Linked DNA regions of Anolis sagrei. The protein of the gene in region 2 purifies or fractionates together with the protein of the main gene of each other region. This does not show direct contact. Links are inferred from orthologs where the notes say so. Each region holds a gene or a part of one and is shown on either strand. Other genes may lie near its edges.

Region 1 (7,058 bases), on a different chromosome or scaffold from region 2:
GCTAAAAAGACATATGAATGAGTCCTAGAGCAAATCAAACCTGAACTCTCCCGAGAAGTCAAGATTGCTAAACCGAGACTGTTATACAAATCATGAGAAGGTATGACTCATTAGAAAAGACAGTAATGCTTGGTAAGGTGCAAACACTTAAAGACAAAGTCCACATTCCAGGTGGTTAGACTCAAGCAAAAAAGCCACCAACTTGAGCCTGAAAAATCAGATGAGGATAGAGTGAATTGGTGGTCTCTCATTCATAGGGTTGCCATAAGTCAATGTACAGTTGGCAACAGTTAACAGCGAAGTCCATAATCTGTACAGAACTAATAGCTCAGCAACTAAACAAGGCCCCATCTAAACTGACAATTTAATTCAGTTCAATGTTCGATTCAAACTGTAGCTGCCTGATAACAAACTCCTACAAAAGTACACAAAAGAAAGCCCTTAAGCTTTGTGTAGTCACTATCCGGGCCTCCAACTGGTTCCAGGATTTCCTGGAACCAGTCAACACTGGTTTGAAACTGCATTAAACAGTCATTGTAGTTTGGATATTCTATGAAGTAAAGATAAGTCTACAACAATCATATGTGTATGGCATCGCAATCTTAAGAATGTAGTCTAAAGCTGTAAGATATAGGACACCAGCAACCTTTCCTCCTAATGTGCAATGGATTGGCCCAATATTTGTGCCCAATGACAACTGTTTCTTATTTTCCTAGACCCTCTCTAACTTGCAGATCAGCACCAGCCCATGGACTACTGCTTTGGACAACACTGCCTCTAAGTCCTGTAATAATCAAATGCTTGGTGAGTCATGTTAACTTCAGCAGTGGACACATACACACAGCCCTCATTAGTAATTGTCTGAAGCCCCAGCATTTCCTATAACAGTTTCAGGTTCTTTTAATATAGGGTTACAATGCTGCATTACAAATGAACACAAGCAACAACTTCTATGGAGGATCTCTGTGAGGAAAACTAACCAAGGCCCCTTCCACACAGCTGAATAAAATTCCACATTATCTGTTTGAACTGGAATATATGGCAGGGTGGACTCAGATAACCCAGTTCAAAGCATAAATTGTGAGATTTTCTGTCTTGATATTCTGTGTTTTATGGTGATGTGGAAGGGCCCTAAGGCCTCATCTACAAGGCCATATAATCCAGTTTCTGAATCCAATTTATCTGTTTTGAATTGTTATATGTTATATGGCAGTGTAGACTCATATAATCAAAAGCAGATAATCTGGATTCACAAACTGGATTATTTGGCAGTGTAGATCCAGCATAATGGGAGACCAATTATGGTGACAGGTTGAGTATCCCTTATTTGAAAAGCTTGAGACAAGAAGTGTTTTGGATTTTGGAATAGCTGTATTTGAATATACACCCAACATGTGGTATCTTCAAAAGCAGGGATCCCAATCTAAACATGAAATGTATATACATTGCTGGTGGTATTTTAAGCACAATATTTTTAATAATGAAAGTAAGTTCACAGAACACAGTTTGTCTGTACATAAGGTTTTAAATTCTCTGTGTTATTGTTTATATGTGAGTTATATTAATTGCACTGTTTATTTGCTTGCTGTTTTGGTTTTACTGATGTGTTGTTGGGCTTGGCCTCATGTAAGCCACCCCGAGTACCCTTGGGGAGATGGTGGTGGGGTATAAATAGTTTTTTTAAAATTATTATTATTATTATTATTATATTGTCTAAACTGAAGCACCCACAAAGAGGACAATGTCTCAGGTACTCAGGTGGATAATTTGGGAGTATTTCCAGATACCCAACAAGGGATGCTCAACCTGTACCAGCTGATGGACTCTTCTCTTGGGAGTGATCTCCCTTTTCAAGGAGGCACAATTGAGATGAATAACATAGAATCATAGAATCAAAGAGTTGGGAGAGACCTCATGGGCCATCCAGTCCAATCCCCTGCCAAGAAGCAGGAATATTGCATTCACATCACCCCTGACAGATGGCCATCCAGTCTCTGTTTAAAAGCTTCCAAAGAAGGAGCCTCCACCACACTCCGGGGCAGAGAGTTCCACTGCTGAACGGCTCTCACAGTCAGGAAGTTCTTCCTCATGTTCAGATGGAATCTCCTCTCTTGTAGTTTGAAGCCATTGTTCCGCATCCTAGTCTCCAGGAAAGCAGAAAACAAGCTTGCTCCCTCCTCCCTGTGACTTCCTCTCACATATTTATACATGGCTATCATCTTTTTGGATTGGCCGATTTGTTTCGCCTGTCACCCATGGGGATTGGAAGATGCTGGAGAAATGTAGTTCCTAGTTTATAGGGAGCAAAGGGGCACTTTATTCCTGCCTTATAATAGTTGGGAGTTCAAAGGATCCATTCACTGCAGAGGCAATGAGTGCCTTGACTAGACTTAAAAACAGTTTTGTCTTCACATTTCTGCTCTATGGTCATATAGATAAGGCTACCTCTTCAGCTGCCACGGCTCCCTGGGAGTTGTAGTTTTACAAGGCCTTGCCAATGGTCCTCAACATGTAGGTCCCCAAATGGGGCCTTCAACTCCCAGAAATCCTAACAGCTGGTAAACTGGCTGGGATTTCTGGGAGTTGTAGGCCAAAACACAATGGTTGGGAACCATTGCTTGGGCCTTCTTTGGCCAGAGGGCTGGGACCTCACCAAACTACAGCTCCCAGACTCCACAGCATTGAGCCATGGCAGCCAAAGTGGCGTCAAGCTGTCTTTAATTCCATAGCGGGGGAAGCGGCCCCTCTGTTCCCTGCTGGAGGCCCCCTTCCCAGCCCAGGCCCGGACCCAAGGAGGCCCCCAGCAACCGGCGACGGGCCCCGCCCACCGGGTCCCGTCTCCATGGCGACGGCGCGCGCCCTCGCAAGGCCCCTTCTCCCCCTCTCTTGCCCCTCCGGCTCCTACCAGGATCAGCGCCTCCATCTTGGTCGCTTCTGATGCCGACGTGGAGCACGGACCTAGCTTGCACCGGATTGGCTGGCCTCGGGCCCGTCTCTCCGTTAGGCCCCGCCTTCGCCGCGCTGAGCGACTGCTGATTGGCCGCCTCTCGACTTCCTCGTCTAACCTGCCACCTCTTTCACCAGGGCTGCCTTTTCCCTCACTGCACAACAGGGAGGGGGCGTGGCTCGCCTTGAAGCCCCGCCTCCGTTTGTGATTCGAAAACGAAGCTGTCACTCACTTGCCCTCGCTTCCCAGCTACAGGAAGGAAAGAATGCGCCAGTTTCCATGGTGAAGAGGGAAGCTCTTAAGGCAGAGGCAGGATTGGGGCCTGGCTCAGACACGTGCTTGAAATTTATTTTATTTTTATTTATTTGTCGTGTCAGGACAACCAGTCAAATTATATTACATTTCTAACAGAACAAAGCAAACAAACAGACAAAATACAAAATGTGTGAGTTTGGTCGTTGATTAAATGTCCTTTGACCAGTATCTGGCCACTTGGAGTGCCTCTGGTGTTGCTGCAAGAAGGTCCTCCATGGTGCATGTAGCAGGGGTCAGGTTGCATTGCAGCAGGTGGTCAGTGGTTTGCTCTTCTCCACACTCGCATGTCGAGGATTCCACTTTGTAGCCCCATTTCTGAAGGTTGGCTCTGCATCTCGTGGTGCCAGAGCGCAGTCTGTTCACTCAGTTTTCTGTGTGCCCAGGAGGGAGTCTCTCATTTGGTATCAGCCATTGATTTGAGGTTCTGGGTTTTAGCCTGCCACTTTTGGACTCTCGCTTGCTGAGGTGTTCCGGCGAGTGTCTCTGTAGATCTTAGAAAACTATTTCTAGATTTAAGTCATTGATGTGCTGGCTGATACCCAAACAGGGGATGAGCTGGAGATGTCACTGCCTTGGTCCTTTCACTATTGGCTGCTACTTCCCGGCGGATGTCAGGTGGTGCAATACCGGCTAAGCAGTGTAATTTCTCCAGTGCTGTAGGGCGCAGACACTCCGTGATAATGTGGCATGTCTCATTAAGAGCCACATCCACGGTTTTAGTGTGGTGAGATGCGTTCCACACTGGGCATGCATACTCAGCAGCAGAGTAGCACAGCGCAAGGGCAGATGTCTTCACTGTATCTGGTTGTGATCCCCGGGTTGTGCCAGTCAGCTTTCGTATGGTATTGTTTTTAGCACCCACTTTTTGCTTGATGTTCAGGCAGTGCTTCTTGTAGGTCAGAGCATGGTCCAGAGTGACTCCCAGGTATTTGGGTGCGCTGCGATGCTCCAGTGGATTCCTTTCCAGGTGATCTTCAGAGCTCGGGATGCTTCTCTGTTCTTGAGATGAAAGGCACATGTCTGTGTTTTAGATGGGTTGGGGATCAGCTGGTTTTCCCTGTAATAGGCAGTAAGAGCACCTAGAGCTTCGGAAAGCTTCTGTTCTACCATCTCAAAGCTCCCTGCTTGAGCAGTAATGGCACGATCGTCAGCATAGATGAAATTCTCTGTCCCTTCTGTTTGAAATAATATCATACGAAAGCTGAATGGCACAACCTGGGGATTTATTTATTTAGTGTCAAAAGCATTGCATAAATTAGTATCTATATAAATAAAAATATAATGTTCGTTTGTGGGATTAACATAACTCAAAAACCACTGGATGAAATGACACAAAATTTGGACCCAACACTCCAAACAGACCAATGAGTGACCATCACTCATACTCCCCATCCAAAAAAAAAAAAAAAAAACCAGTGGAAAGGACTTAAAACCTCCCAAAAGATAAATGACGAAAAGATAAATTACATACAGAAAAAAAGGGAAGGAAGAGGGAGAGAAGGAAGGGGAAAAGAAAGAAGGAAACAAAGAGCGAAGGACGGAAAGGTAGAGAAGGAAGAAAGAGGAAGGATGGAAAGAAATGGGGAGAGAAAAAAGGAAGGAGAGAAGGAAAGAAAAGAAAGGAAGGAAAGAGGGAGCGAAGGAAGAAGAGAAAGAAAGAGAAAGAAGGAGGGAAGGAAAGACAAAAGGAAGGAAGGAAGCAAAAAGCAAAGGAAGGAAGGAAAGAGGCAGAGAAGGAAGGAAGAAAGGGAAGGAAAAGAAAAAGGGAGGAAGGAAAGCAGAAGAAGGAAGGAAGGAGAGAAGGAAAGAAGAAAAGGGAAGGAGGGAAAGAAGGAGAGAGAGGGAGTGAATGTTGGCCACAGCAACGCGTGGCAGGTACAGCTAGTCAAACTGATAAAAATAGAAAGAGCGCAGGCGGCTAAATATCTTTTGACTAAAAATGGGCCTCCAACAATTTTTCCTCTGTACATGAGGCAGGGCATAGTGGACAAGCATACAGATGCAGAGTTGTATGTTCACACAAGGTGTGGGATTCTTTTAGTTAGTGCCATTTTGCCAGATTATCTTTTGATCTGCCCACTCCGCTTCTGAGTCTATTCAGGGACTTCCAAGTTGCCCGCTCTTGGAGGAAGACCCTCATGGAGGCCATCCAGTTGGAATTTCTTCGTTTAGCTGCCCAGAGGGATACCCTTGCTGTTGCTGGGGGGACGCCAAGAGGAGTGGTAGTTTTTTTTGGGGGGGGGGATAGCTTGTAGAGTTTGTCAACAGGTGTAAGCTTAAGACATCCTGTGATTATTCTGCATGTTTAGTTCAATGCTATGTTCACCGGCTTTGCATGGGCAGACTTATGCCAAACTTATTCCAAACAGGGCAGGCAAGGCATACTCGGCAGTTGAGTTAGACAAGGCTAGGGCTGATGTTCTTATTAATTTTGGGTCTGCACCCCATGTTCTGCCAGCACATTTCCGCAGGATGTTATTGTGTGCAGCTACTTCGTGCTTGGTGTTCAAGCAGTGTTTCCTATATGCTAGTGTTCGATCTAAGGTGACACCGAGATATTTAGGATGGAAACAGTGTTCAAGCCCTTGACCTTCTCTTGACCACAACCTGGAGATCACAACCAGAGACAATGAAGGCATCTGCCCTTATGCTTTGCTACTTTGCTGCTGAATACGCATGCCCAGTGTTATTATTGTTATTATTAATAATTATTTATTACAGTCTATGACCAGCACACTACAGAATGGAGCCCAGGGGTCCAAGGAAGGAAATCGCAGTTCCCAAGTAAGTCAGATAAAAAAGCAGATTTGTAGTTTAGGGAAGATCCAAGCAGTCCATAATCCAGGAAATAAAGCCTGACTGGAGGAAAGGATAGTAGAGGCAAAAATGAAGTACTTTTGCCACATAATGAGAAGACAGGAAAGTTTGGAGAAGACAATGATGCTGGGGAAAATGGAAGGAAAAAGGAAGACGGGCCGACCAAGGGCAAGATGGATGGATGGTATCCTTGAAGTGACTGGCTTGTCTCTGAAGTAGCTGGGGGTAATGACGGCCGACAGGGAGCTCTGGCGTGGGCTGATCCATGAGGTTACAAAGTCAGAAGCAACTGAATGAATAAACAACAAATATTAAAAGATATAAAGCTCATAAAAACAGTTCAACTAAAATAATACACCACTCCCAAAGCCCATTAATTAAAACATTTAAAAGCCTACCTGAGCAAAAAGCCATCAGACTAAACTACAAGACTGTAGAATTAATGCAACTTGATATCACTTTGGGCCCTTCCATACAGCCCTATATCAAGGCAGAAAACCCCCACATTATCTGAGTGTGGATTGAGATAACCCAGTTCAAAGCAGATATTGTGAGATTTTCTGCCTTCTGGGATATAGGGCTGTGTGGAAGGGCCCTTTGACTGTTGTGGCTCAATGCTATAGAATCACATGAGTTGTAGTTTTACGTCTTTAGCTTCTCCAACAAATAATGCTGGGGGCTCACTAAACTCCAACTATCATGATTCCATACTATAGAGCCATAGCAGCTAAAATGGAGTCAAACTGCATTAATTCTACAGTGTAAAAGAGCCCCTCTTGTGTCCCCACCAACAATGCTTGTGATGATGGTGGGGCTGTGAAGGGCTCCTTCTGATGATCTTATATTATGGTACATTGTTTCCAAGCCTTTGTGCTGTTTTTGTTTTGTTTTGGTTTTTTTTGTCATCAAAAAACAGGGAAATGCCTCTTTGAGAGGTTAGAGGCAGTAAGAGGTTTTTTCAGCCCCAATATGCAAGTGT
Region 2 (7,859 bases):
CTAGAATCTAGGGGATGGAATTTTTACAAGGCAGTTCCAAACTTTCAACATAGATAAGCTCAAAATCTATGAAATCTTTTGACTGGCCTGGCTGGGTATGATGAAAGTTCTTAGTACACTTTAGCAGCAATTAGGGAAGCCTCAGATATTTTACCCTAGGATACATCTACACTGTAGAATTAATGCAGTTTGACACCGCTTTAACTGCCATGACTCAATGCTTTGGAATCCAAGGAGTTGTAGTTTCACAAAGTCATCTGCCAAAAAGTGCTAATGCCTCAACCAACTACAAATACCAGGGTTCTATAGCATTGGGCCATGGCAGTTAAAGTGGGGTCAAACTGTTTTAATTCTACAGTATTGATACAGGCCTATAAGTGCAACCTCTGCAGCAACAATTAAGATTAAGTAGCTATAAAAACTGTATACACTGTAGCTGGTATTTGTTGTGATGGATTAATTTACTGAAGCTGTAATTCTGTATTTACATGCCTGAGAATTAGGTCCTACTGAAAATAAGAATTGTGATAAACGAATGCAATAGGACTAGAGGTGCATCAATATTGTAGAATTAATGCAATATGACATCACTTTAACTGCCATGGCTCAATACTGTAGAACTATGGAAGTCGTAGTTTTACAAGGTCTTTCATCTTCTCCGGCAAAGAATCTGGGGCCTCACCAAACTACAGATCCCAGATTTCCTACCATTGGGTAATATATTACATCTCGAAAGCTGCAGTTTGTTTGGGCACCAGCATTCTTTAGAAGGCTAAAGACCTTGTAAAACTACAACTCTCATTAATTGTTCAGTGTAGCTCAATGGTTTGGGCCGCCAGGTGTTTTGGTCTTCAACTCCCAGAAATCCCAGCCTGCTTACCAGTTGTTAGAAACTGTGGGAGCTGAAGTCAAAAACACCTGGAGGCTCAAAGGCTGGGAACCACTGGTGTAGATGCACCCTTGGAGTGAACTGTTAGATTAGTGGTACTAAGCTGTGGGTTCTACAGTGTTGAATTTTGGATCCTAGAATCCTTGACTGTCGGTTCTAATGATTGTGGAAGCCACTCTTAAGACTGATACAACTTCCATGTTATCTCTCTAAAAATCTTGTTACATTTTTATAAAAAGGATCAGATAACACTTTGAAACAAGTTCTGCTCCTGCTGAATTCAAAAAATGTCTTTACGAAATGACACTACTGCAATGACTCTACCTAATGAAGATTTTCAACTGTTAAATAAAAAAATAAGGAAAAAAAATAAAATCTTGTGCACAGCTACTCAGAAGAAAGTCTCACTGTTTTCAATAGATCATATTCAGGCTATATGTATGTAAAATAGTAGCTTTATTCCCAGTCCACTGGATTCAGAGGAATTTATTTAAACTACAAAGCATAATAGCTAAGATTAAGCCTTACAAGTATAGCCTAGGGCTCATCAAAGGCAAAGTTGAAATACATTATTTAACACAAACCGCAGGGTTTGTCCCAGTTGTGCAATGATATGACACCATTGTGATCATTCTACAATTCAAACATAAAATGCAGTATGTGCTGTAAGCATGAATTAGAAATTCGTTTGTGTGCCTGTGTGCAACAATCACACTGAAAGACAGAAGTTTAAAAATAAAAAGCAGATAACAAAAAACCCAGTAATAGGACAACACAGGTATACAAAAGTTTCTTGAAAAAGTAGTAGAACTGTTAAGATGATCTAGAGCAGGCATGGGCAAACTTTGGCCCTCCAGGTGTTTTGGACTTCAACTCCCACAATTCCTAACAGCCTACAAATTTAAAACAAAATGGATAAAAATTGATAAGAGATTTCCTAAACCCAGATGAGACAATTATGGACAATTGTTGTCATTGTAACTGGCTTCTTTGGAATGGACTGAAACAAAGGATCATGAATTGGAGGAAAAATGAAGGCCCAGAAACAGATTTTGATCTAATTTTAAAGTTAAAATTAGAAAAGGAGAAAGGCCTGATGGGTTTAATATACAAGAAATTTGTTGGAAATCGATATAAATTGAAACAAATATTGGTAGAGATATGGAAAGAGGACCTGAATAACAATGATTCAGACACTGAATACTGGATCAATCAATTCAATTAAACATATCAAGTACATAAGGATTAGAGAAACACAAAGGAAAATATTGACTAAATGGTACAGAACCCCAATTAAATTAGCACACATAACTAAATCAACCTCAAAATTGGGTTGGCACAGATGTGGAAAAAATGGCTCCTATACTGGTGGAAATGTGACAGAGTACAAAAATTTTATAATAAGGTACAGAAGGAAATGGAAGAATCAATAGGGCATAAAATGGTTTTGAATTTAAAAGAATTCTTCACCTTGAGCGGAACTTGCTTCCAGCTAAGTATGGATGTCATGAAGCTGTTAAATAGTTCCTTGGGGGAAAAGACAGCTCTTGATGAATACAGTAAAACAGTAAAATAATAATAATTATTATCTATATAAATAAAATGTAATGTTTGTTTGTGGGATTAACATAACTCAAAAACCACTGGATGAATTGACACCAAATTTGGCCACAAGACACCTAGTGACCCAAGGACCATCACTAAAAAAAAATTGAGTTTGTGATTTGGGAGTTGTAGTTGCTGGGATTTATAGTTCACCTACAATCAAAGAGAATTCTGAACTCCACTAACAATGGAATTGAACCAAACATGGCACACAGGACTCCCATGACCAACAGACAATACTGGAAGGATTTGCTGGGCATTGACATTGAGTTTGGGAGTTGTAGTACATCGACATCCAGAGAGCACTGTGGATTCAAACAATGATGGATCTGGACCAAACTTGGCACGGATATTCCATATGCCCAACTAGGAATTCCATATGCCCAACACAGATGGAGCTTGGGGGAAATAGACCTTGACATTTGGGAGTTGTAGTTACTGGGATTTATCGTACACCTGCAATCAAAGAGCATTCTGAATCCCACTAGCAATAGAATTGGGGCAAACTTCCCACACAGAACCCCCATGACCAACAGAAAATACTTAAGGCCATCCAGTCCAACTCCCTTCACCAGGGCAAGAAAACGTACTCAAAGCCCTCCTGACAAAGAGCCATCCAGCCATAGATATAGATATGATTCACACACACACAACTATAGATTTGAAAGGGACCCCTAAAAAAGGACAATTCTATGTTGTATGCTCTAGAGCAGGCAAACCAGACACTCTCCACATCAACACTGACAAAGAAACAGCAAGAAATACTGTTTACCCACAAGCATAAAGAAATTACATATATTAGAAACCAACACTTTCTCTTTACTTTATTTTCCAGATCACAAGACTGGGCCACAGCAACATGTGGCAGGGGGTGGCTAGTAATCTATATAAAATGTAACGTTCGTTTGTGGGATTAACATAACTCAAAAAACCACTGGATTAATTGCCACCAAATTTGGCCACAAGGCACCTACTAACCCAAGGAGTGACCATCACTCAAAAAAAAAATAATAGAGTTTGTCATTTGGGAGTTGTAGTTGCTGAGATTTATAGTTCACCTACAATCAAAGAACATTCTGAACTCCACCAATGATGGAATTGAACCAAACGTGGCACACAGGACTCCCATGACCAACAGAAAATACTGGAAGGGTTTGCTGGGCATTGGCGTTGAGTTTGGGAGTTGTAGTACATCAACATCCAGAGAGCACTGTGGACTCAAACAAGGATAGCTCTGGACCAAACTTGGCACGAATATTCCATACGGCCAACTAGGAACACAGATGGAGCTTGGGGAAAATATACCTTGACATTTGGGAGTTGTAATTACTGGGATTTACAGTTCACCTACAATCAAAGAACTTTCTGAACCCCACGAACAATAGAATTGGGGCAAACTTCCCACACTGAACCCCTATGACCAATAGAAAATACTTAAGGCCATCCAGTCCAACTCCCTTCACCAGGGCAAGAAAACATAATCAAATACTGTTTACCCACAAGCATAAAGAAATTACATATATTAGAAACCAACACTTTCTCATTACTTTATTTTCCCGATCACAAGACTGAGCCATAGCAATGCATGGGAGGGGACGTCTGGTCTATATAAATAAAAATGTAATGTTCATAATGTTCAAACTTGGCACGAATATTCCATATGCCCAACTAGGAACACAGATGGAGCTTGGGGGAGTTGTAGTTACTGGGAGTTGGGACCTTGACATTTGGGAGTCAAGGTCCCAAAGAGCATTCTGAACCCCACGAACGACAGAATTGGGGCAAATTTCCCACACAGAACCCCCATGACCAACAAAAAATACTTAAGGCCATGCAGTCCAACTCCCTTCACCAGGGCAAGAAAACATAATCAAAGCCCTCCTGACAAAGAGCCATCCAGCCATAGATGTAGATATATATATATATATATGATTCACACACAGAGAGATATAGTATCAAATATAGTATCATAGATTTGAAAGGGACCCCTAAAAAAGGACAATTATATGTTGCATGTTCCAGAGAAGGCAAATCAGACACTCTCCACATCAACACTGACAAAGAAACAACAAGAAATACTGTTTACCCACAAGCATAAAGAAATTACATGTATTAGAAACCAACACTTTCTCGTTACTTTATTTCCCAGATCACTAGACATGGCCATAGCAACGCGTGGCAGGGGATGGCTAGTAATAATAATAATAATAATTCCAAAAGGAGAACCTCAATAACCCTATGAATGGGCAGTCTATACGTTTCGTAGATCTATTGTGTCTCTTTCGCTCCCTCCCTCCGCAAACGAAGAGCACTGGGCGGAAGTGATTGAGTTGGCGTTTTCGCGTTGGCTTGGATTTCTCGCGAGAACAGCCAAAGCCGGAAGCTCCACGTCGGTGAATTGGGCAGTGAGCGAACCTGGGAGCTTCGGGAGGTTGAAGCAGCCCTGAGCGGGAGCTGAAGCCATGGTGAGTCCAGGCTCCTGAAGGCCTCCTCAAGACGGGCCTTGGCTTGGCATTCTGCAGAGCCCCTCCTTTTCCTCGGGCAGGGATGGATGTTTGGGGAGGGAAAGGGGGAGAGAAAGGCCTTTCTAAGGGCCCTTCCATACAGCCCTATGTCCAAGAATATCAAGCCAGGAAATCCCACTATGTCCCACAGGAAATCCCACAAGACCTGTCTTGATCCAGGGAAGTCATGCTACCCCTCTATTCTGCCTTGGTCAGATCACACCTGGAATATTGTGTCCAATTCTGGGCACCACAATTCAAGAGAGATCTTGACAAGCTGGAATGTGTCCAGAGGAGGGCAACTAAAATGATCAAGGGTCTGGAGAACAAGCCCTATGAGGAGCGGCTTAAAGAGCTGGGCATGTTTAGCCTGAAGATGAGAAGGCTGAGAGGAGACATGATGAGGGCCATGTATAAATATGTGAGACATAGTCATAGGGAGGAGAGAGCAAGCTTGTTTTCTGCTGCCCTGGAGACTAGGACACAGAACAATGGCTTCAAACTACAAGGCCTTGTTGTTCTGTTTCTTATTGTGATATGGCCTAAGGGCTAATCAATAAAATTACTACTGCTACTACTACAAGAAAGGAGATTCCATCTGAACATTAGGAAGAATTTCCTGACTGAGAGCTGTTCAGCAGTGGAACTCTCTGCCCTGGAGTGTCATGGAGGCTCCTTCTTTGGAGGCTTTTAAACAGAAGCTGGATGGCCATCTGTCAGGGGTGCTGTGAATACAGTTTTCCTCCTTCTTGGCAGGGGGTTGGACTGGATGGCCCATGAGGTCTCTTTCAACTCTTATGATTCTAAGATTCTAAGACCTCACAACCTCTGAGGATGCCTGCCATAGATCCAGGTGAAATGTCAGGAGAGAATGCTTCTAGAACATGGCCATATAGCCCGAAAAACCTACAACAACCCAATCCACAATATCTGCTTTGAACTGGATTATCTGAGTCCACACTCAGATAATGTGGGATTTTTTTTTTGCCTTCATATTCTGGGATATAGGGCTGTGTGGGAGGGCCCTTAGGGGCATCTGCAGCATAGAATGAATGCAGTTTGACACTATGGTTCAATGCAATGGAGTCATGGGAGTTTTAGTTTGATAGGGCATCAGCATTCTTTAACAGAAAAGACTAAAAAGCCTCATCCAGCATCTAACCATGGTAGTTAAAGTGGTATCAAACTCCATTCATTCTACACTGTTGATCAGGCATGGGCAAACATGGGCCCTCCAGATGTTTTGGACATCAACTCCCACAATAGGGTTAGAATTGGTTGTGGCTAACCAGGAAAGAGTTTTTTGGAGGGCACAGTCACAATTCAGTGTTTTAGAAAGGATGATACCTTACTCTGTCTTGGAGATGCAGCATCTATTACAGCATCCCTAATAAATGACCAACTGATCTCTGATTAGAAATCTCTAATGAAGGTGAGCCAACTGCTTTTGGAAACATTCTGCTGTCCGAAAAGTGTACGTAAAAAGAAAGTCTTCATAATGGTTTATCAGAATCCACTTTTTAAAATTTCAGAACCCGCAATTCTGCCCTCGTGAGGTAGAGACCCAAATATGTGTCATGGTGAATATCTTAGTGAAAGCAGCAACTCAGTAAGTTGCAACAAAAGAAGCAAATTCTCTGAGTTTACACAATCTATTGTTTGATCCACTAATCTGTGGATGTGTACAATTTCAGGGAAATGCTTGAGTTCTTGCTTTAATTCACATTTCCTAAGAAAGAACAATAATTATTAATACCTCCAGCAGTCAAGAATGTGTGGTGGCTCATTTTGTCCAGACCTGTCAATTGTGGTTAGCAACAGGTCTGAAATGAACTTAATATTTTTTGTTGTAAACAAAAATAAATGTTCTTAAGGAACATTTAGCCTATTTTTAACTTATTACAGCTATCCCCTTGATGCTTCTTCATTCCCTTTCTATACTTTAATATAAGTTGTGCATAGTTTATGAAGGACATGATATTGCCTTTTTATCTGTTCCACTTTATAAAATGGCAGTAGCCTCCTTCGTCCAGATCTTGGATCTCTCCTTAACAGTTTTCATATTTGCAAAAATCTTGCATTCAAAACAGTCTCCAGCTCTTTAGTATGGATATATGGCAGCATGTTTGCTTTGCATAAGAATATTTCAGTGGAGACTAGTAAAGATGTGTTCACGTTTGTAGTATGTATTGGTTTGGAATGGATTCTTGAGTTACTCAAGCCAATATCTGAAAGATTTTGACTGTGTTGAGGTCAAAGCAATGTGTCTCTTGTATAAATATCACTGGTTGTTTCGAATTGGTCCTTCTTGTGACATAAATATCTTAAACAACTGTCTTCTTTTTAGCCTCTCCGACTTGATATAAAGCGTAAGCTCACAGCTCGATCTGACCGTGTGAAAAGTGTAGACTTACATCCTACAGAGCCATGGATGTTGGCTAGTCTTTACAATGGCAGTGTCTGTGTCTGGAATCATGAAACACAGGTAAGATTTCATATAAGACTTGTTGATTATAAAACCATAGTTTTTTTAGTGTGCTACTACATGTGAGGTCACCATTAAATGTGGTGCAAGAATTCTGTTGTCAAAATCACAGTGGTGGTTTTTTCCCCAAATTTAACAGCAATTACAGCATCTTTCTCGATTACATCGATATAATTTCACTTCTTATGCCATTTTCTCAGTTAATTCCCTGACCAAGATTTATTAAGTAAGTGTTTCTCCCTTAGCATTTTTTTTTACTTTTTTGTAAGTTATTTCTTTTTCTGAAAATTCTAAATTTTAATGTGGCTTTTCATGTCTAGGTGGTTTTAAAAGACATTTGCATAAATTAGTAATGTAAGGTCTAATCTTTGTTTTC
Region 3 (7,385 bases), on a different chromosome or scaffold from region 2:
ACGACAATTTCAATGGGTTGTAGGTTTTTCGGCCTATATGGCTATGTTCTAGAAGCATTCTCTCCTGATATTTCACCTGCATTTATGGCAGGCATCCTCAGAGGTTGTGAGGACAATTTCAATCATTCCTAAATCACCAGGCCAGTGACGTGGACAGCAAGTTAAGGAAGGCCTCTGTAACCCGTTAATACTAGGATATCAACACATTCATTTCTGTTGTTCAGATCCAAGCTGCAACAAACTCAGGTGGTGGTGAGATCAAGATTCCCAATATGGATTCCTAGATAAGGCTATTACTCACATCATTCCTGATTGCTAATCGCATTGATTGAGGCATCCTTGTGTTGAAACGTAGCAACATCCAGGGACTAAGGGTGTGTCTACACTGTAGAATTAATCCAGTTTGATGCCATCTTAAATGCACGGTTCAATAGTGTGTGTTATTGGAAGTTGTGGGTTTACAGTCATGATCGTTAGCCTTCTTTGCTGGATAGTGTTGATGTCTCAACAAACTACAACTCCCAGGATTCCATAGCATTGAGCCAGGGCAGTTAAAGAAAGAGAACAAAGACATGTTTGTGGGACTAAGCCTTTGGCAAGTAAAATAATGCAATACAAAGAATAATTAAGGAACATGTGCAATGACGATCGGAATGGCTATGGTGCACGATTTTTGGATCATGTGATTTTAATATTTATACTAGGATGATTTTAATGCGTCACCTGAATGTTTACATTTTGTTTATGCCTTATGTTTAGTTTTAATTATTTTAAGTCATAGTTATTAGTTATTATGTAGTAATTAGTTATCATGATCTCTTTTTTTATTGTATGTTGGCATTGAATCTTTGCCATTAATATATTGTAAACTGCACTGAGTCTCCCCAGGGGTGAGAAAGACAGTATATAAATATAGTAAATTAATAAATGGTGTCAAACTGCATTAAGTCTTGAGTGTGCGTGCACCCCAAATCTGGAAATTAGTTATCTAGCCAGACTTGAGTGTAATGTCATTTTCATCACAGTCTGATCTTTCTGTGTTGTCAGAATGATTTAAATCTAGACAAATATCATTCACAATCTCCAGAATGCCAATTCCCACCTGTGCTACTTATCATAGCCAGTGATGCGGGAAGATGGATGTGGCACTGTAATAACATCTGGAGGGCCACATTTTTCCTAGCCATGGTTTACAAGCCACACTGGTCAGGAAACTGCAGAAAAATTTATTGTCTCTTTCAGAACAAATGGAAAGTCCTAAGGTGACTATATATACAACTTTAGAAAAGGACACTACATGAATGAAAAAATAATTATAATTATTGGGTTGTTGTGAGTTTTCCAGGCTGTATGACCATGTTCCAGAAGCATTTTCTCCTGACATTTCACCCACATCTATGGTAGGCATCCTCAGAGGTTGTGAGGTCTGTCAGAAACTAGGCAAGTGAAGTTTATATATCTGTGGAATATCCAGGGTGGGAGAAAGAACTCTTGCCTAGTTTCCAACACACCTCACAACCTCTGAGGTTGCCTGCCATAGATGTGGGTGAAATGTCAGGAAAAACTGCTTCTGGAACATGGCCACACGGCCTGGAAAACTCACAGCAACCCAGTGATTCTGGCCATGAGAGCCTTTGACAACACAATTATAATTATTTTATTTTTTACCCTTCCTCTCCTCATATTGGATTTCTGTCCACAAAATAATAATAATAATAATAATAATAATAATAATAATAATGCAAAGACTCCGACACAAGCCAGTCAAGGTGGTCCCAGTGGTGATATGAGGATTTAAAGATTGAACTGCAAAGACTCTGGCACAAGCAAGTAAAAGTGGTCCCAGTGGTGATTGGCATATTGGGTGCAGTGCCTAAAGACCTTGGCCTGCACTTAAACACAATTGGCATTGACAAAATTACCATCTGCCAGCTGCAAAAGGTCACCTTACTGGAATCTCTACGCATTATTCGCCGATACATCACACAGTCCTACACTCTTGGGAAGTGTCCAACGTGTGATCCAATACAACAGCGAGCAGAGTGTTTTCTGTGGACTCAACTTGTTGTATTTATAATAATTATAATAATTATAATAATTATAATAATAATAATAATAATAATAATAATAATAATAATATATCACACAGTCCTAGACGCTTGGGAAGTGTTCGGCTTGTGATTTTGTGATATGAAATCCAGTATATACGTATATCTCGTTTGCTGTGACATACTGTGTTTTTGTTTCAGTAAAATAATAATAATAATCTTTATTTATACCCTGCCATCATCTCCCCGGAGGGGACTCAGGGCAGTTAACATGAGGCCAAGCCCAAAGATAAAATTGTTGTTCATTCGTTCAGTCGTTTTCGACTCTTCGTGACCTCATAGACCAGCCCACGCCAGAGCTCCCTGTCGGCCGTCACCACCCCCAGCTCCTTCAAGGTCAGCCCAGTCACTTCAAGGATGCCATCCATCCATCTTGCCCTTGGCCGGCCCCTCTTCCTTTTGCCTTCCACTTTCCCCAGCATAATTGTCTTCTCTAGGCTTTGCTGTCTCCTCATGATGTGGCCAAAGTACTTCAACTTTGTCTCTAGTATCCTTCCCTCCAGTGAGCAGTCGGGCTTTATTTCCTGGAGGATGGACTGGTTGGATCTTCTCGCAGTCCAAAGCACTTTCAGCACTTTCCTCCAACACCACAGTTCAAAAGCACCTATCTTCCTTCGCTCAGCCTTCCCTAAGGTCCAGCTCTCACATCCGTAGGTTACGACAGGGAATACCATGGCTTTGACTAGGCGGATCTTTGTTGCCAGTCTGATGTCTCTACTCTTTACTATTTTATCGAGACTGGACATTGCTCTCCTCCCAAGAAGTAAGCGTCTTCTGATTTCATGGCCATACAATACAGCAAAATAAAATACAAAATACAAAACAACAAAAATTACATCAGAATGAAATGCATACAGTAGCAAAATAAAATAAATAAATAGAAATAACATAATGGAAAAGCTTTCAAAAGCATTAAACCTTACCAGAAAAAGACAGATGACAACCTTAAGAATGCAAATTGATCAGAATGAGTAGGATTTCTTTTTCTTTCACCTTTCCACTTAATTTTTCCCCCTGAAAAACAATTCAAATTATTTGTGCTGCCTGATCAATAAAAAGGAGTCCTTAAAAGGTGTTAACTTTATGGAAGGTGCTTAGAAAGGAAGTTTTCCTTCTCTTCCACTTAAGAAAAACACTGTTCCCAACATACTGCTAAACAGGACAAAATTAAGTTTATTTTCAGCTCTTATTTTGAATGCAAATTATACAGAGATATCTTATTTGATGCCACAGGGCTTCCCAAATGATGCCTAACATATTGTCGAAGGCTTTCATGGCCGGAATCCCTGGGTTGTTGTAGATTTTTTCGGGCTGTATGGCCATGGTCTAGAGGCATTTTCTCCTGATGTTTCGCCTGCATCTATGGCAAGCATCCTCAGAGGTAGTGAGGTCTGTTGGAACTAGGAAAAGGGGTTTATATATCTGTGGAATGACCACTCTCACAACCACCATGTCAGACTACACAGAGAAGCCATTGAAATACACAAGCATGTGGACAATTTCATCAGAAAGGAAGAAACCATGAAAGTGAACAAAATCTAGCTACCAGTATTAAAAAAAACTCTAAAATTGCAACAGCACAATAACAGAGAGGAAGCAGGTAGCGACATCTAATTACCTCTCAACAAAAGTTTGCTCCAGGCACAGTCAACCCATTGTATGCTAATCAAGGTGGTCAGTTGAAACATTCACACCTAGCTCCAGCAGACAAGAGTCCTTTGTCTCACCCTGGTCATTCCACAGATATATAAACCCTTTTCCCTAGTTCCAACAGACCTCACAACTTCTGAGGATGCTTGTCATAGATGCAGGCGAAACGTCAGGAGAAAATGCCTCTAGATCATGACCATATAGCCCGAAAAAACCTACAACAACCCGATGCCTAAACACTCTAAAAGCACTAGATTCTGGTGGATCTAGGAAGTTAGGCAGGAGGTTATCTTTCAAAGGAAGGAAAGGGCAAAACAACCTGAATAGTGTGACATTCCTACAGACTCTGCCCACCTCCCCATAAGCCAGGCATGGGCAAACTTCGGCCCTCCAGATGTTTTGGACTTCAACTCCCACAATTCCAGGGTTGAAGGGGGGGGAAGGTGCTATTCTTAACGTTCTACGCTTGGTCTTCCAATGGCTCCGCCCCACGAAGCGTTCCCCGCTGCTATTGGCTGAGGGATCGATGACGTCACACGCCTTTCCCCTAAGCTCCGCCCTCGCACTGTCAGCCACGTAAGCCCTCTTTGGGCCTCACCAGCGCAGCGTGCGCATGCGCCTTTCTGTCAAAGCTGAGCCCAGTCAGGGTTGTCATGTTGGCAGGAAGTGGCGCCCGGGCAGGAAGTAGAACTCTTCAGGGCTGCAGGCAGAGCCAGGTGCTGCCTTCTCCTCCTCCTCCTCTTGTTCTCTATTTGGGCCCTTTCCCCTTCCCTCCCTCCTGGTGAGTTGTCTGCCTCCTCTTCCACCACCCCTCCTCTGCCAAGGGACAAGATGCTGAAAAAATTCGACAAAAAGGATGAGGAATCCGGTGAGTAATGCTGGGGACCATGGGTGCATCTATACTGGAGAATTGATGCAGTTTGACAGCACATTAGCTGCCTTGGCTCAATGCTATGGAATCCTGGGAGCTGCAGTTTGGTGAGCCACCATCACTCTTTGGCAACTACAACTCCCATGATTCCACAACATTGAGTTAGGAAAGTTCAAGTGGTGTCAAACTGTATTAACATCATAGCGTAGATGCTCCCCAGATGTAGTTTGGATTTTAGATATTATTATTATTATTATTATTATTATTATTATTATTATTATTTGAAACACAACAAGATGAGTCCACAGCAGATAAGATTATTCTGCTGGCTGTTTAATTAGATCACATGTCAGTCCCTTCTCAAGCCTAAACACTCTAAAAGCACTAGGACTGTGTGATGTATCGGTGAATAATGTGTGCAGATCCCAGTAAGGTGGCCTTCTGCAGCTGGCAGATGGTAATTTTGTCAGCGCCGACTGTGTTTAAGTGCAGGCCAAGGTCTTTAGGCACTGCACCCAGTGTGCCAATCATCACTGGGACCACCTTGACTGGCTTGTGCCAGAGTCCTTGCAGTTCGATCTTTAAATCCTCATATTGTGTCAGCTTTTCCTGTTGTTTCTCTGCAATCCTGCTGTCATCTGGGATTGTGACATCAACAACATTATTATTATTATTATTATTATTATTATTATTATTATTATTATTATGTTTTTGGCATGCTCCTGTCATTTAGGAAGAAATTGAAGTTGTGTTTCTGGGACCAGGCTTTTGGACAACAGACATAGATAGTACTTTGGACATGGAATTGGATATGGAATTGACTGGAATGATGATACGGCTATTAATACTGTTTTTTACTGTGTTAATGAATGTTTTACTTATTGTTTTAATTGTTATTATATTGCTCTGTTATATGTAGTGGCATCAAATTGCTGCCAAATGTAAGCCGTCCTGAGTCCCCCTTCGGGGGTTGAGAAGGAACGGGATAGAAATAAATAAATGTACATGAGATATTTTGGAGACAGGACACACCCCGAAACACCAATTTTATTTATATTTCATATACACCTTATGGGGTCCCCCCAGTGGCTCAGCGGGTAAAACTGCTGAGTTGCTGAACTTTCCAACCCAAAGGTCAGCAGTTTGAATCCAGAGAGCAGGGTGAACTCCCACTGTTAGCCCCAGCTTCTGCCAACCTAGCAGATCGAAAACATGTAAATTTATTTATTTATTTGATGCATTTATTAACCGCCATTCTCAGCCCTTTAGGGCGACTCATGGCGGTGTACAACACATATAAAAAGGCAATTTACCAAGAGGCAATTACAACAACATATTAACAATACAACAATTACAAAATTACACTAAAAATCCGCTTCGTCTCATAGTGGAATCATAACCAATCTCATATTCCTTGTTCCTTTCCAGTCGTCTTTACCACATTTTTATAGCACTTAATTAAATGCCTTCTCGAACAGCCATGTCTTAAGGCTTTTTCGGAAGGACATAAGGGAGGGTGCCTGTCTGATGTCTGCAGGGAGAGTGTTCCACAGCCGGGGGGCCACCACCGAGAAGGCCCTCTCCCTCGTCCCCGCCAGACGTGCCTGTGAGGCAGGCGGGATCGAGAGAAGGGCCTCCCCAGACGATCTCAAGGTCCTCGTGGGCTCGTAGGCCAAGATACGGTCCGAAAGGTATTTTGGGCCGGAGCCGTTTAGGGCTTTGTAGGCCAAAACCAGCACTTTAAATTGGGTCCGGTAGCAAATCGGCAGCCAGTGGAGCTGGGACAACAAGGGCGTTGTGTGCTCCCTGCCTCCCGCTCCAGTTAGTAACATGGCTGCCGCGCGCTGAACCAGCTGAAGCTTCCGGGCCGTCTTCAAGGGCAGCCCCACGTAGAGAGCGTTGCAGTAGTCAAGGCGGGATGTGACCAGAGCGTGTACCACCGTGGCCAAGTCAGACTTCCCGAGATACGGGCGCAGCTGGCGCACGAGCCTGAGCTGTGCAAATGCTCCCCTGGTCACCGCTGAAACCTGGGGATCCAGGCTCAACGATGAGTCCAGGGTCACACCCAAGCTGCGAACCTGCGCCTTCAAGGGGAGTGCGACCCCATCCAGCACAGGCATAAATGTGCATATATCAATAGGTACAGTTCCTGCGGGAAGGTAACGGCACTCCATGCAGTCATGTCAGCCACATGACCTTAGAGATGTCTAGGGACAATACCAGCTCTTTGGCTTAGAAATGAAGATGAGCACCAACCCCCAGACTTGGACACAACTAGACGTAATGTCAAGGGGAAACCTTTACCTTAGACATATAGCCTGAAGTTAATTTTGATACCCAATATTTTAAAATAATTTTGTGCATGAAGCATCAATTAACAATTAATCCATAATCTGGAGTTAGTTTAATACAATGTTGTCTAAGATGAAACAAATGTTTTTATACATCAGCTCATTGGAAAGCAACTCTCTCAGCTGCTCATGTGAATAATTTCAGATTTTGGGGGATTTTGGAAATACAGCTAAGGGATGCTTAACCTGTATTGACAAATCTCTTTATGGAGAACAGGGGACAAGTGTGTAGTTATGGAAGATGTATTTTCACTCCTCAGTACAGAGCACCTCAAAGGAATATACCCTTCCATAGTATATAGTTGCCTATACACACTAAGGAAGAGATATCCCTATCATCCAATAAATGGGCCCAAATTATGCAGACTTTTGTGGTTGATGTTTCTCCAGGGATCAACACTGAAC

What was found. Proteins that work in one complex are often made in the same cells at the same time.
Region 1: the proteins of COPB2 (region 2) and COPZ1 fractionate together in Homo sapiens (co-fractionation; 6 studies listed by BioGRID and IntAct, with this or other methods). This does not show direct contact. The link is inferred for Anolis sagrei from reciprocal best matches to the Homo sapiens genes COPB2 and COPZ1.
Region 3: the proteins of COPB2 (region 2) and COPG1 purify together in Homo sapiens (co-immunoprecipitation; 8 studies listed by BioGRID and IntAct, counting the BioPlex papers as one, with this or other methods). This does not show direct contact. The link is inferred for Anolis sagrei from reciprocal best matches to the Homo sapiens genes COPB2 and COPG1.

The regions. Positions count from the first base shown.
Region 1 is NC_090022.1:188,474,492-188,481,549, forward strand, and holds the start of COPZ1 (coatomer subunit zeta-1), read right to left. Parts: upstream 3,012-7,058; 5' UTR 2,924-3,011; coding exon 2,906-2,923; intron 1-2,905. UniProt on the Homo sapiens protein: The coatomer is a cytosolic protein complex that binds to dilysine motifs and reversibly associates with Golgi non-clathrin-coated vesicles, which further mediate biosynthetic protein transport from the ER, via the Golgi up to the trans Golgi network.
Region 2 is NC_090023.1:229,602,807-229,610,665, reverse strand, and holds the start of COPB2 (coatomer subunit beta'), read left to right. Parts: upstream 1-4,845; 5' UTR 4,846-4,956; coding exon 4,957-4,959; intron 4,960-7,345; coding exon 7,346-7,483; intron 7,484-7,859. UniProt on the Homo sapiens protein: The coatomer is a cytosolic protein complex that binds to dilysine motifs and reversibly associates with Golgi non-clathrin-coated vesicles, which further mediate biosynthetic protein transport from the ER, via the Golgi up to the trans Golgi network.
Region 3 is NC_090022.1:56,476,836-56,484,220, reverse strand, and holds the start of COPG1 (coatomer subunit gamma-1), read left to right. Parts: upstream 1-4,374; 5' UTR 4,375-4,589; coding exon 4,590-4,626; intron 4,627-7,385. UniProt on the Homo sapiens protein: The coatomer is a cytosolic protein complex that binds to dilysine motifs and reversibly associates with Golgi non-clathrin-coated vesicles, which further mediate biosynthetic protein transport from the ER, via the Golgi up to the trans Golgi network.